Neurospora crassa OR74A: one gene and its partners. The protein of the gene in region 1 interacts with the protein of each later gene in a pairwise test. Links are inferred from orthologs where the notes say so. Each region holds a gene or a part of one and is shown in the gene's direction. Other genes may lie near its edges. The genes, in order: NCU04461, NCU02624 and NCU02693.

Region 1 (3,554 bases):
CATCGTTCAATTATCATCTTTTAGCTTTCTGTACATTCCACTCACATTATGAACTCGTCTGCTAACAACGGGCCGAAGTTTCTCATTTTCTCTACAATAGATACAGGGTCCGAAGGGTGGATGTAACGCAGGCCAATGGGATGTGTCTTTTGGCTAGAGCCATCATGCCACAAGTCCATGCTCCTTCCCAGCTTCACGTGAGAAACATGGTAGCTAGAAGCTGCGATATGCGCTTACTGCTTCTTGGCTTCACGAGCGGCCTTGCGGAGAGCGCGGTTGCGGATGTCGATGTGCATGTTCTTGTTCAGCCTGAGGGTAAAGTAGCTGTAGGCACCGACAGTGTTCTCAACAACCCACTTGAACACAGCATGGCTCCACCAGGGGGTGTAGGTGTTAGGAAAGGGCTCGGAGCTGTTGAGGCCAACCTTGCCGAGAGCAGCGCGGACGAACTGCTTGGGGTTGGGGATGAGGAGGCTGGTGCGGCGGATCTTGCTCATGGCAGTGGTAACGAGGTAGCTGACAACAAGGTGGACATCGACGCCCTGGTCCTTGAGCTCGGCAGAGAGAGCGCTGCTCCAGTGCTGGAGGAACGCCTTGCTGCCGCTGTAGGTGGCAAGGTAGGGGGTGGGCATAACACCGGCGAAAGAGCCCATGGTAAGGATAAGACCCTTCTTGCGCTGGGCGAGGATGGGAGCGACAACCTTGGTGGTCTTGAGTGTGCCGAGGCAGTTGATGGTGACAATGTTCTGGAGCTCGTCGCGGTCGGTCTGGAGGAAAGGAACGGGGATGCTGTGGGACTGGCCAACGTTGTTGATCAAGATACCAATGTCGAGGCCCTTGATGAGCTCGGCGAGACGCTCGTAGTCGGAATCGTCGTCCTTGGAGAAGTCCATGGCGAAAGTCTTGGCCTTGAAACCATCCCATCTGAGCTCGAGCTCCCTAGCAAGGACGTCCAGCTTGGACTGAGTGCGAGAGACGAGAACGAGGTTGAAGCCCTTGGAGGCGAGCTGCTGGGCGAACTCCTTTCCGAGACCATCGGAGGCACCAGTGATAACAGCCCAGGTGCCCTTCTTGCCATACTTGCGGAGCTGTCAAGGTTGATGTTAGCCACATTCACCTGACAATCTTCAGTCCCAAGTAAGTTTGCGAAGAGACGTACGTTGGTGCCGCTCAGGATGAAAGCGTTAAGGAGCAGCTGGAGGAAAGCGCCGACGCGAGTAGCGACGTAAAGGGCGCCGATGCCAGCAAGGGCCCATTGGCCATATTGAGGGACAGTGCCCCAGATCTCGGCAACCTTATCCATTGCGTACGGACTGTCGGCGAAAGTCGTTGATGAAGGAACGCCTTTGGTTTGAATCGGGGAGTTGTGACACTTTCAAAGTTGGGTCCGGTCGCAAATAATTGTTGGGAACTTTTTGGAGGACCTGGGGTCGACTCGCCTACTATGTACACTTGCATGTGTCAGCCGCCAAGATTTTCGAGACGTCCCGCCCCGCGGCCCCGGCGAGAGGACCTGGGCAGCTGGGTTGTCCCCGCTTTTGCCGAACCATCACTCACTCGACGCCGCCATTGAACTCCGACGGAGCTGGCCATGGGCCAATGGATAGAGGAGAAGGGGGAGCCTGGCGGATTTTGTTTGTTGTCTCCAAAATGTCGTCCAATGCCCGTGGACCTGCGTCCATGATGCTACGATGACCCCTGTCTCTCGCGCTTGAGAGTGGCCCGAAGTGTGGTTTCCATCCGATCCTCGAGCCGCTGGAACAAATGGAGAGCTGCAACAGGAAGGGCAACTAACACCTCAACAACAAAAGGTCTTCTCAATACAAATATCCTGGACTTACGATAGCTTTCTTCCCTGACGACAAACCGCTTCATAACTGTTTGAACCAAATGGACGCTATCAAGGCTTTCCTGCCTTCGGGCGAGAAGGGTCTCCTTCCCTACTACCTCTTCTTTGTAAGTTGACGGTTGCTGGTCCCCCTGACTCTTCACATGGTTTCGCAATTAACACGCCCTTCGTCCAGGTCTCCATCGTAGCTATGGGAAACGCCCTCCAAAACTACACTACTCTCCACTACACGCGACGCCTTTACAACGGCCGTTTCGTCCCCAACCCTTCCCTGCCGCCCGCAAAGGGCAAATTCAGCCCGGAGGACAGCGTGGACGTGCTGAAGCCCGTCTCGCCCTCAGAGGCGGAGAAGAAGGAGGCGGCTGCCAAGGACCAAGTCACGCCGCTGGCGGCCCGCGTCTTCGGTACCTACACCTTTATGGCCGGCATCATCCGCTTCTATGCGAGCTACAACCTCGAGAACGAGTCGTTGTACAAGCTCGGTATCTGGACCCATGTCATCGCCGCCGTGCACTTTACGAGCGAGTTCTTCATCTACAAGACGCTGCGTTTCAGCGGACCTCAGATCTTCCCCTTCTTGGCGGCGTATGGCGGCACGTTGTGGATGGTGTTGCAGTATGGTTACTACGTCCAGTAAAAGACAGGTGCAGCTACCAGCTGGTCTTTGGGAATCAAAGCAGGAAGCAGTACATGGCCCCCAAAAAGGAATGGCGAGTGGACTCGGATCATGACCATAAGAAGCGCGATCGCGTATTAGGTGAAATAAGACTCCGACGATAGGCTTTGTGGAAGATGTACCACTTATTGATACCCTTTTCGGTCAAGAAGCGAAGCAAGCGCATCATACATTTCCACTACTGCAACGACTTGCGATAGAGCTCACCACCGCAGTCTCTGAGTCGCGCAGCCGCTTGCTCCGGAGTGATATCCCTCTGCGGCTCAGCCATTAACTCGTATCCGACCAAGAACTTGCGCACGGTAGCAGACCGAAGAAGTGGAGGGTAGAAATGCATATGGAACCAGCTCGTCTCAGCCTCTTCCTCTGTGCAATCCAACGGCGCCTGATGAATACCCGAGCCTTCTCATACCGTTAGCTCCTTTCTCCCTTTCTCTCTCCTTCGGGCAGTTGCAGAGGGTAGTAGAACTTACTATACGGAAAGTTTGTCTCGAACAAGTTATCATATCTTCTCGTAACCTCCTGCACCGCCTCGGCAAACTGCAGCCTCTCCTCGCTCGTAAGCTCCACCAGCGCGCGCACATGTCTCTTCGCAATGACGAGCACCTCAAACGGCCAGACAGCCCACCAAGGGCAGACGACCAAGAACCCGTCGTTCTGCCAAACCACACGCTCGCCCTTGGCCATCTCCACCTTGACGTAGTCCTCCAGCAGATGCCTCCCCTTGTGCTCACGGTGGTACTTGGTCATCTGCGCCAGCTCCTTGCCCGGCTCCTCGGGCAGCGTGCTCGTCGTCCAGATCTGGCAGTGCGGATGCGGGTTCGAGCAGCCCATGGCCGCGCCCTTGTTCTCAAAGATCTGCATGTACCGCAGCTGCTGCTTTTTCGCGGGCTCGACTTCGCCGTCCGGGTTAGGTGGAATCTCGCTGAGTGAACGCGCGGCGGCGTCCCTGAGCGGATGCGAGGCAGACAGGTGGCTGGCGTAGATGCGCGTCCAGGTCTCGATCACGGGTACGATCTCGGTCGCGCT
Region 2 (4,307 bases), on another chromosome or scaffold:
ACAACAACAAACTTGCCAGTCATAGCGCTTATTCTTTGCAGCTTTTCGCATTTTGGACGGCGTTCAACCAGGAGTTACACTTTCATTTTCGGGGTAACAAAAAAGGGGAAGGGGGGAGCATTGATCATTCCGGGATTCTTGGGATAGGGCACTCATGATACCACATAACACGCATTCACTCAAGCTTTTCTCTATTCCTTCGTATGGGTTTTCTTCTTTCGATGTCAGATAGAACATGTCCCGGCTTCCTGTCAGAATCAGCATTGATTTTTTTTTTTTTTTTTTTTTTTTTTTTTTTTTTTTTTTCTGTTTTCTTGCATGTCTGAACCAAGCAAGTCAATGCATTTGGTTGGTTTTGTGTAGAGTGACAAAGGGCTCGGTTGGAAACCTGCCTCATAGTATTGGAAGATACCAAGCCACCTGATTCAGACAACAAATAAATATATTTACTCTATACATACATATTCGAACCGGCAGCAACAGATTTTCGATCATGAGTCTATCAAACCATGGATTCGAATACGTTTGCGTAATCGTTTGATGACGCCATTGCACTACCTCACTATAACAATAGCGAACTCCACGTGTTTCTTTGGTTCCTTTTTTAATATATTTTCATAGGCTAGAAAGATAGTGGTGGTCAGCAAAGGCGAGGGACGACGCAAGATGACTTGCTTGGGCGGGATTGAGACGAGAGCGGGAGTAGCCGCTGTGGCAAAGCACAACCTCGAATGCCAAGAGATGGCTCCGTTGAACTCCAGCTTGACCCCTTTTTTAGTATTTGACCAAGTTTCTTTCAACAAAGCACGGAATGTTAGATACTTTTGCTTGCGAGTTGGGAATTGGTGAGATGTTTGAAAGGGGTGAAGTATGTAGATAGCGGCCATTCAAGTAGTATGCATATTATCATATCTGTTCATCGCTGCCCTGCATCTGCAGTCAGGCATTCATATGTATTCCTTCGTACTCGCCGCGTTCTGAAGACGTTAGGATTTCCATTCAAGCATGACATTACCCTGTCTGCATCCCATTTCCTTTGCAAGACCAAAACAGCATGGCTGAAGAGCTCCAATCGTCTCTTTCCATGGTGGAAACCGTCAGATGCGATTTCCCCCATGGCATGATCTTGGGCTGAGGTTGCCAGTGCGGCAAGGATAGGTTAGTTTGGATGATCTGGAGAGGGTACGTACCGTCCAACCAAAAATCCGAATACGAATGCGTTGCCCCTGCTCTTATGATTGGCTGGGAGACATCAGACTGCCCAACTCCTATTCGCCCGGAGGGAAAGCTGCTCCCGAAAGGTGAGGTGGTCCCTGAGCTTCACCAAGCTGGTGAAAGTGTGCTGCTGTCACCCCAGTTTTACACTACCACTGCACTGCCCTTGGTCCCTAGCTAGGTGGGTAGACCTCCCCTCCCCTATCAGCCTATCGCTAGGATAGGTCGTAGCCAGAGAGGGAAAGGCTACGATAACCGCCAACCATCGACCGACTTTATAAAATCAAGTCGCGTCGCCCATCTTCTCCCCTTTTACCCCCCCTCCTCAGGCTACATTCATTTTCTTGCTTGTTTGCTGCCGGCGTCCACGACTTTGGCTTCGTTCCCCTCCACGCCTTCTCCCCGCCTCCTTCTCCAACCATGGGCATCCTGCAAGTCGTTGCGGGACCGCTGTCCCAGCAGTTTTCCCAGCTGGGGACGGTGTCGCAAATTGGTGTCGCGATCGCCTCCTTTTTGTTTGTTGCCGTCGTCCTCAACGTCCTCCAGCAGTTCCTCTTCAAAAAGCCTAATGAGCCGCCTCTCGTCTTCCACTGGTTTCCTCTCATCGGCAGCACCATTACGTATGGTATGGACCCGCCGCGTTTCTTCAAGGAGAACAGGGAAAAGGTAAATCCTCCAACCGCCTCCTGTTGGGCTACGCGCGAACTTGGCTTGCTAACGATCTCGGCGCTCGAACAGTACGGCGATTGCTTCACCTTCATCCTCCTCGGAAAGAAGACTACTGTCTACGTCGGCCCCAAGGGCAATGACTTTATCTTGAACGGCAAAATTCGCGATGTCAACGCCGAAGAGATTTACACCGTCCTTACTACCCCTGTTTTCGGCAAGGACGTCGTCTACGATTGCCCCAACTCCAAGCTTATGGAGCAGAAGAAGGTTAGCAGAGGCAACAACATATGGAGGTGGTAAAGAGTGTGCTAACATACGGTTTTCACAAGTTCATGAAAATTGCGCTCACCACCGAAGCTTTCCGCCAATATGTCCCCATCATCTCCGATGAGGTTACCAGCTACCTCAAGAGAACCGCCGACTTCAAGGGAAAATCCGGCATCGTCGATATTCCCCCCAAGATGGCGCAGATCACCATCTTCACCGCCTCGCACGCTCTTCAGGGCAAGGAGATTCGCGACAAGTTCGACGAGACGCTTGCCGACCTATACCACGACCTCGACATGGGTTTCTCTCCCATCAACTTCATGCTTCACTGGGCCCCTCTTCCCTGGAACAACCGTCGCGACTACGCCCAGCGTACCGTTGCTAAGATCTACATGGACACCATCAAGGAGCGTCGCGCTCGCGGCGAGACTGGCGCCCAGGACATTATGTGGCACCTGATGAACTCGACCTACAAGGGCGACGTCCCCGTTCCCGACCACGAGATCGCCCACATGATGATCGCCCTCCTCATGGCCGGCCAGCATTCTTCGTCCTCCACCAGCTCGTGGATCATGCTCCGCCTCGCCTCCCGCCCCGACATCATGGAGGATCTCTACAACGAACAAGTCAAGAACCTCGGCGCCGACCTCCCCCCACTCACCTACGAGGACCTCGCCAAGCTGCCCCTGCACGCCGCCATTGTCAAGGAAACCCTCCGCCTCCACGCCCCTATCCATTCCATCATGCGCGCCGTCAAGACGCCCATGCCCGTCCCCGGTACCAAGTACGTTATTCCGACCGATCACGTCCTCCTCGCCGCCCCTGGTGTCTCCGCCACGGACGAGTCCTACTTCCCCCAGCCCGACCTTTGGGAGCCCCACCGCTGGGAGAAGGACTCGCCCCTCGCGCCCACAATTGTTCGCAACGTCCCTAGCGAGGAGGACGATGAGAAAATCGATTACGGCTACGGTCTCGTCAGCAAGGGCGCCAACTCCCCTTATCTGCCCTTCGGCGCCGGTCGTCACCGCTGCATTGGCGAGCAGTTCGCCAATGTGCAGCTGCAGACTATCCTTGCTATTATTGTTCGTAACTTCAAATTCAGGAACGTGGATGGTAGCGATAAGGTTATTGGTACCGACTACGCTTCGCTTTTCTCGAGGCCCCTTGAGCCGGCGAAGATTTACTGGGAGAGGAGGGAGGGTTGCCAGTTGTAAAGACACTGATGTGGTGGTGAGGAAGGGTGTGGATGCTTAGATGGGCGTTCTTTGGTTTTAGTTGTTATAATTATGGAACTGGGTCTACGGCATATAATGACGTGATTGATCAATCATGAAAAAGAGTGTTCTTGGAGACAGGATAGAATAGAGCTCGATGGACCTTATGGGAGGAGTGTCCCGAGGAAGACTCAGGGGAAAGAAAAGGAAGTTGCATTATAACTAATACCTAATACCAACGAACGAACACGGTGGCCTCACTGTCGAAGAACAGTACATCCATTCTTGATTGTTCTATGCACGTGTTGGTTGTTGTTGTTGGAGGTGTGGTTGTAGTAGCCAAAAGAAGATCTGCGAAAGTCTGAAAGGACAACATCACCAGTTCGCGTTGGTGAGTCAAATAATCCGAGTCGAGTCCGACAACCACCAAACGTGTCCTGCACCGAAATGAGTGAACAGTTGAAGGAAATGAAGGAGCAATATGCATTTCCTCTTCGGTGACTCGTTATGCTGTTCTCGATCATGACACAACTTTGCCTGACCGAATGGCTATGGGTACGTAGTTCATTCACTCGCCGCGGGTTGTCCATGGGGGCTATTAAGATCTAGGCATTTCCCAAAAAAAAAAAAAAAAAAAAAAAAAAGGGGGGGGGGGGGAGGGGGGAGGGGGGCTTGACGTAGTTATAAATCCTAAGCGAATCAACAGCCATAACTTCTAGGGAGTTGAAGGGGGTTTGCTACGAGAAGAGCTTATGTAGTGAGGAATTTGCTGGTTTACTCGGTCCCAGCCAACTGGTGGAAAATAGAAGGCCGGATCGAAGCGATATGGAAGTATAAGATAGAGGATGCTTGAACGCAGCCAAGACGGTTCCGAGGATTGCTGATGCCCACAGCACACAGCTCATGAGGCCGGCGAGGAGGTGATGGTTGTTAGAGATGCTC
Region 3 (3,656 bases), on another chromosome or scaffold:
CTGATCCGGTTGCGTGGAGGGTCCTAGGGAGCCATTTCCAACGGGCTGAGGCTGCACGGCGGCCTGATGAACTACGACATTTGGTGATATTGTCTTGCTGAACACGGATGTGCGCGTGGTGGGTTCAAAGTTGTTATATGCATTGGCGAGTGCTCTATAGTTGGCATCGTCTTTCGATCTGCTAGGAGCTGTGATATGGACGAGGATTTCGGTCGCGGATTTTTTGTTCATCACACTGCGTCAGGGCACCAGTTTAAGCTGTGGTTGTCGAGTGCCATGGAATGGGCTGGGCTGCGTTGCAATCGAGATATAGAAGTTGGAAGTGTGCTGGATCATGGGTTTATGGGTAAGGGTGAGACGCTGGATGGAAGGCTGTTGCCTGACAGACAGTAAAGTGTTCCAGATTCTTACGAGGTGGAAGTGAAGAGAAACGCCGTTGTGGGAGGACAACGAAAGGGAGCAAATGCGCATTGTTGACTGGCTGCACGACGGGATCTGGCAACAAAAAAAAAATGGAAAACCGCGTGCCCGTCGCATTCAGTTGGGTACCTCTATGTGCAGGCGGGATCGATAGTACTAGGTTCCACCTTTATGGCAAGGTCTCACGATGTTGGAACTTGGAAGATGGGAGAGCACGGGTCCCTGTGCGCCTTCATCCACTCAGGTCCACTGCGAGCCGCACCCCGTCGACCTTGATGGACAACAGGGGTCCTTCATTTTGCCCTTCTGTAGGTTCCGCCCAAAATCCAGCCTCTTAAAAAGGGGTCACGATGTTTTCCACAGGCGTGTCGCCGTGTCGTACCTCACTGGCTGTCAAGAGCTAGGTACAGTAATTTCCCCTGAAAGTGCATGTAATCCGGGCCAGGGGTTTATATGCATCTAGAGGCACATATGCACTAGCAGGCACATGCCAAGTCTTTTTGCTCCCTTAGTATGAAAATTTCAGAGGTTCAGAGAGTGCTAGCTTGCCTATAAAGTCCTAAAAGGCCCTGAAAAAGGTGTTCCAAATAGTGCATATTACACCGAAATGGCCGGCCGTTTCACATACAGGGGCATTCAAGCACTTATGCGATTTCCCATACCAACTAATTGCGGCCGCCAATTTCTACGCATCTAGAGGGCTTTATGCATTATCAGGTGCATGCACTTTGAGGGGAAATTACTGTAAGTGGCGTGCTTGGAGCCGAGACGCGGAGCCAGAGACACAGTGGCATGTCCCTGATAGGTTGCAATTTGTAGCTCAAAATGGCATCCTTGTCCCCCGGCTTCGAAGATATCCTACCCATGATCCCACGTCCCTTGCTCTAGAACTAGACAGTTTCCCAATTGACCCTCCTTCAGTCCATCTTTCCTGCCTTTCTCCCAACGCTCCAATCCATTGCTCTTCCCTTGTCGATACCCCGCATACATCCCACGATGGCCTCAGAAAAGAAGCCGGAGCTTGGCTCCGTCATGGTGATTGGCGGCTGTGGCTTCCTCGGTCACCACGTTGTCCGCGTGCTCCTCCGCGACTACATCTGCTCCGTTTCCGTCATCGACCTACGCTGCACGCGGAACCGGCGACCCGAGTCGGATGGCGTCCAATACTTCGAGGCCGACATCACAGACCCCGCCAGGCTCGAAACCATCTTCAACCAGGTCAAGCCCCAGGTCGTCATCCACACCGCGTCGCCTGCCGCCCAGTCCAACGACAGCGTCTCTCATGCGCTGTTCAAGAAGGTCAACGTCGACGGCACCGCCGCCATCATCAAGGCGTGTCAGCAGACGGGCGTTACCGCCCTCGTCTACACCAGTTCCGCCAGTGTGATGAGTGATAACAAGTCCGACCTCATCAATGCGGACGAACGTTGGCCCGTCATCCGTGGAGCCCAGCAGAGCGAGTACTATTCGGAGACAAAGGTACCCTCCTACTTCCCCTCTCTCCCATATCCCCCAAGAGTGATGCATCCCAAAACTAACCTCCCCCTCCCTCCAGGCCGCCGCCGAAGAACTGGTCCTCCAGGCCAACCGTTCCGCTGCCGCCCCTTCCCTGCTCACCTGCTCCATCCGTCCCTCAGGCATCATGGGCGAAGGCGACACCATGACGCTGTACCACCTAATCAAACTGTACCAGAACGGCAAGACCTCGGTTCAAGTCGGCGACAACGATAACCTCTTCGACTTCACCTACGTCGAGAACGTAGCGCACGGTCACTTGTTGGCCGCCGTCGCCCTCCTCCAAACCTCCAAGCTCAAGATCGCCCCACTAGACCATGAGCGCGTCGATGGCGAGGCCTTCATCATTACCAACGACTCGCCCGTGTACTTTTGGGATTTCTGCCGGGCTGTGTGGAACGCTGCGGGATCTCCCCATGGGACTGAGCACGTGTGGGTTTTGCCGCGCGATGTTGGTATTGTGCTGGGCTTTTTGTCGGAAGTCTTCTTTGGGATCATTCGCAAGCCGCCGACGTTTAATAGGCAGCGCATCATTTATAGCTGCATGACGAGGTACTACGATATTTCCAAGGCTAAGAAGCGGTTGGGATATAAGCCGCTGGTGCCATTGGATGAGGCGGTGAAGAGGTCGGTTAAGTGGACGCTGGAGCAGCAGAAGGGGGAGAAGTTGCAATAGGTATAGCAGGCCTTGAATGTGGAAGGGATAAAGGGTGTGGTGGTGGTGGTGGTGAAAGAAGCAAACATCGACGGAAGGCATGATAACTGTATATGAAACATTGGACAAGCGCTGATGAGGCGAAATAAGTCGGGCCTTGCGTGCTGGAACGCGCCGTACTATCTGTCCCGCTGTATAATAATATCTAATGACGACATTTGGATGACGGACGACGAGGCATGCCTCTCTCAGACATGTTGGCCGGATGAAGGGGTGAGCTGGATATTGATCCACGGACAGATGCTAAACATGTCACGCGAAGCTACGAAACTCCTTCAACAAAGCCCAGACTGAACAGTATGATGCCGGTGCGTGTACGTAGTTTCTAGATTAGGTCTGTTACCGGTCCATAAGTGACTAACAGAAGCATTCCGATCTTGATCGCTCGCTAAACTTAATTCTCTTGCTAATCCCATACACCATGATACCCTAACGCCATGCTATCCCCTTCGTAGGCCACTTCAATTCCTTCATATGTCTTAGGAAATGTCAAGTTCAGCGCTTGGCTCCTTTCCTGCCTGTCGTCCTCTCGATCTTATCTCTTCCAGGCGTGTACGGCGCTGCAATACCAACCAATCTCTGCGATTGTTCATTTCGTCCTAGTGTTGGAAATTGTCCTTGTCCTTGCCCTTGCCCTTGTCCCTGTCCCAATGTCTCCCCTGGTGACTGCTGCGCTTCTGTTCCAGCCGTGGTCGCCATCGTTGTCGTTGGTGGCGTAGAGGTCCGGTCTGTTGTTGCCGTGGTATCTCCCATGGCATAACCACTTCCATTACCAACGCTAACAACGCCCCCTCCTGGTGCTGCTCCTGCTGCCGCCGCCGCTGTCCCTCTGAATTCATATACTCCCCCGACACTAAGAACCGCAGGTACCCCCAGCGTAGGCGCCGTCAATTGCTCGCGGTGCAGCTTATCAAGCGACTCGCCTACGATGGCGTACTGGGCCCAGTTGATGGGCGGACAGCGGACAACCGTTTGCGGCTTGGGAAGGGAGCGCCAGGTTTTGGAG

The links.
Region 2: the proteins of NCU04461 (region 1) and NCU02624 interact in a two-hybrid assay, tested with the Saccharomyces cerevisiae proteins (2 studies listed by BioGRID, with this or other methods). The link is inferred for Neurospora crassa OR74A from reciprocal best matches to the Saccharomyces cerevisiae genes ERG28 and ERG11.
Region 3: the proteins of NCU04461 (region 1) and NCU02693 interact in binary tests that used the Saccharomyces cerevisiae proteins (3 or more experiments, as listed by UniProt). The link is inferred for Neurospora crassa OR74A from reciprocal best matches to the Saccharomyces cerevisiae genes ERG28 and ERG26.

The regions. Positions count from the first base shown.
Region 1 is NC_026504.1:3,279,040-3,282,593, forward strand, and holds NCU04461 (transmembrane domain-containing protein), read left to right. Parts: upstream 1-1,563; 5' UTR 1,564-1,890; coding exon 1,891-1,956; intron 1,957-2,024; coding exon 2,025-2,486; 3' UTR 2,487-2,703; coding exon of another isoform or gene 2,704-2,927; 3' UTR 2,928-2,998; downstream 2,999-3,554. Other genes in the region: NCU04462 (3-ketoacyl-CoA reductase), read right to left, coding at 234-1,088, 1,160-1,303; NCU04460 (galactose-1-phosphate uridylyltransferase), read right to left, coding at 2,704-2,927, 2,999-3,554. UniProt on the Saccharomyces cerevisiae protein: Part of the third module of ergosterol biosynthesis pathway that includes the late steps of the pathway.
Region 2 is NC_026501.1:2,956,550-2,960,856, reverse strand, and holds NCU02624 (cytochrome P450 51), read left to right. Parts: upstream 1-1,367; 5' UTR 1,368-1,635; coding exon 1,636-1,881; intron 1,882-1,953; coding exon 1,954-2,151; intron 2,152-2,213; coding exon 2,214-3,365; 3' UTR 3,366-3,986; downstream 3,987-4,307. UniProt on the Saccharomyces cerevisiae protein: Sterol 14alpha-demethylase that plays a critical role in the third module of ergosterol biosynthesis pathway, being ergosterol the major sterol component in fungal membranes that participates in a variety of functions.
Region 3 is NC_026501.1:3,224,290-3,227,945, reverse strand, and holds NCU02693 (C-3 sterol dehydrogenase/C-4 decarboxylase), read left to right. Parts: upstream 1-1,216; 5' UTR 1,217-1,416; coding exon 1,417-1,899; intron 1,900-1,975; coding exon 1,976-2,611; 3' UTR 2,612-3,039; downstream 3,040-3,656. Other genes in the region: NCU02694 (hypothetical protein), read right to left, coding at 1-231; NCU02692 (hypothetical protein), read right to left, coding at 3,146-3,656. UniProt on the Saccharomyces cerevisiae protein: Sterol-4-alpha-carboxylate 3-dehydrogenase; part of the third module of ergosterol biosynthesis pathway that includes the late steps of the pathway.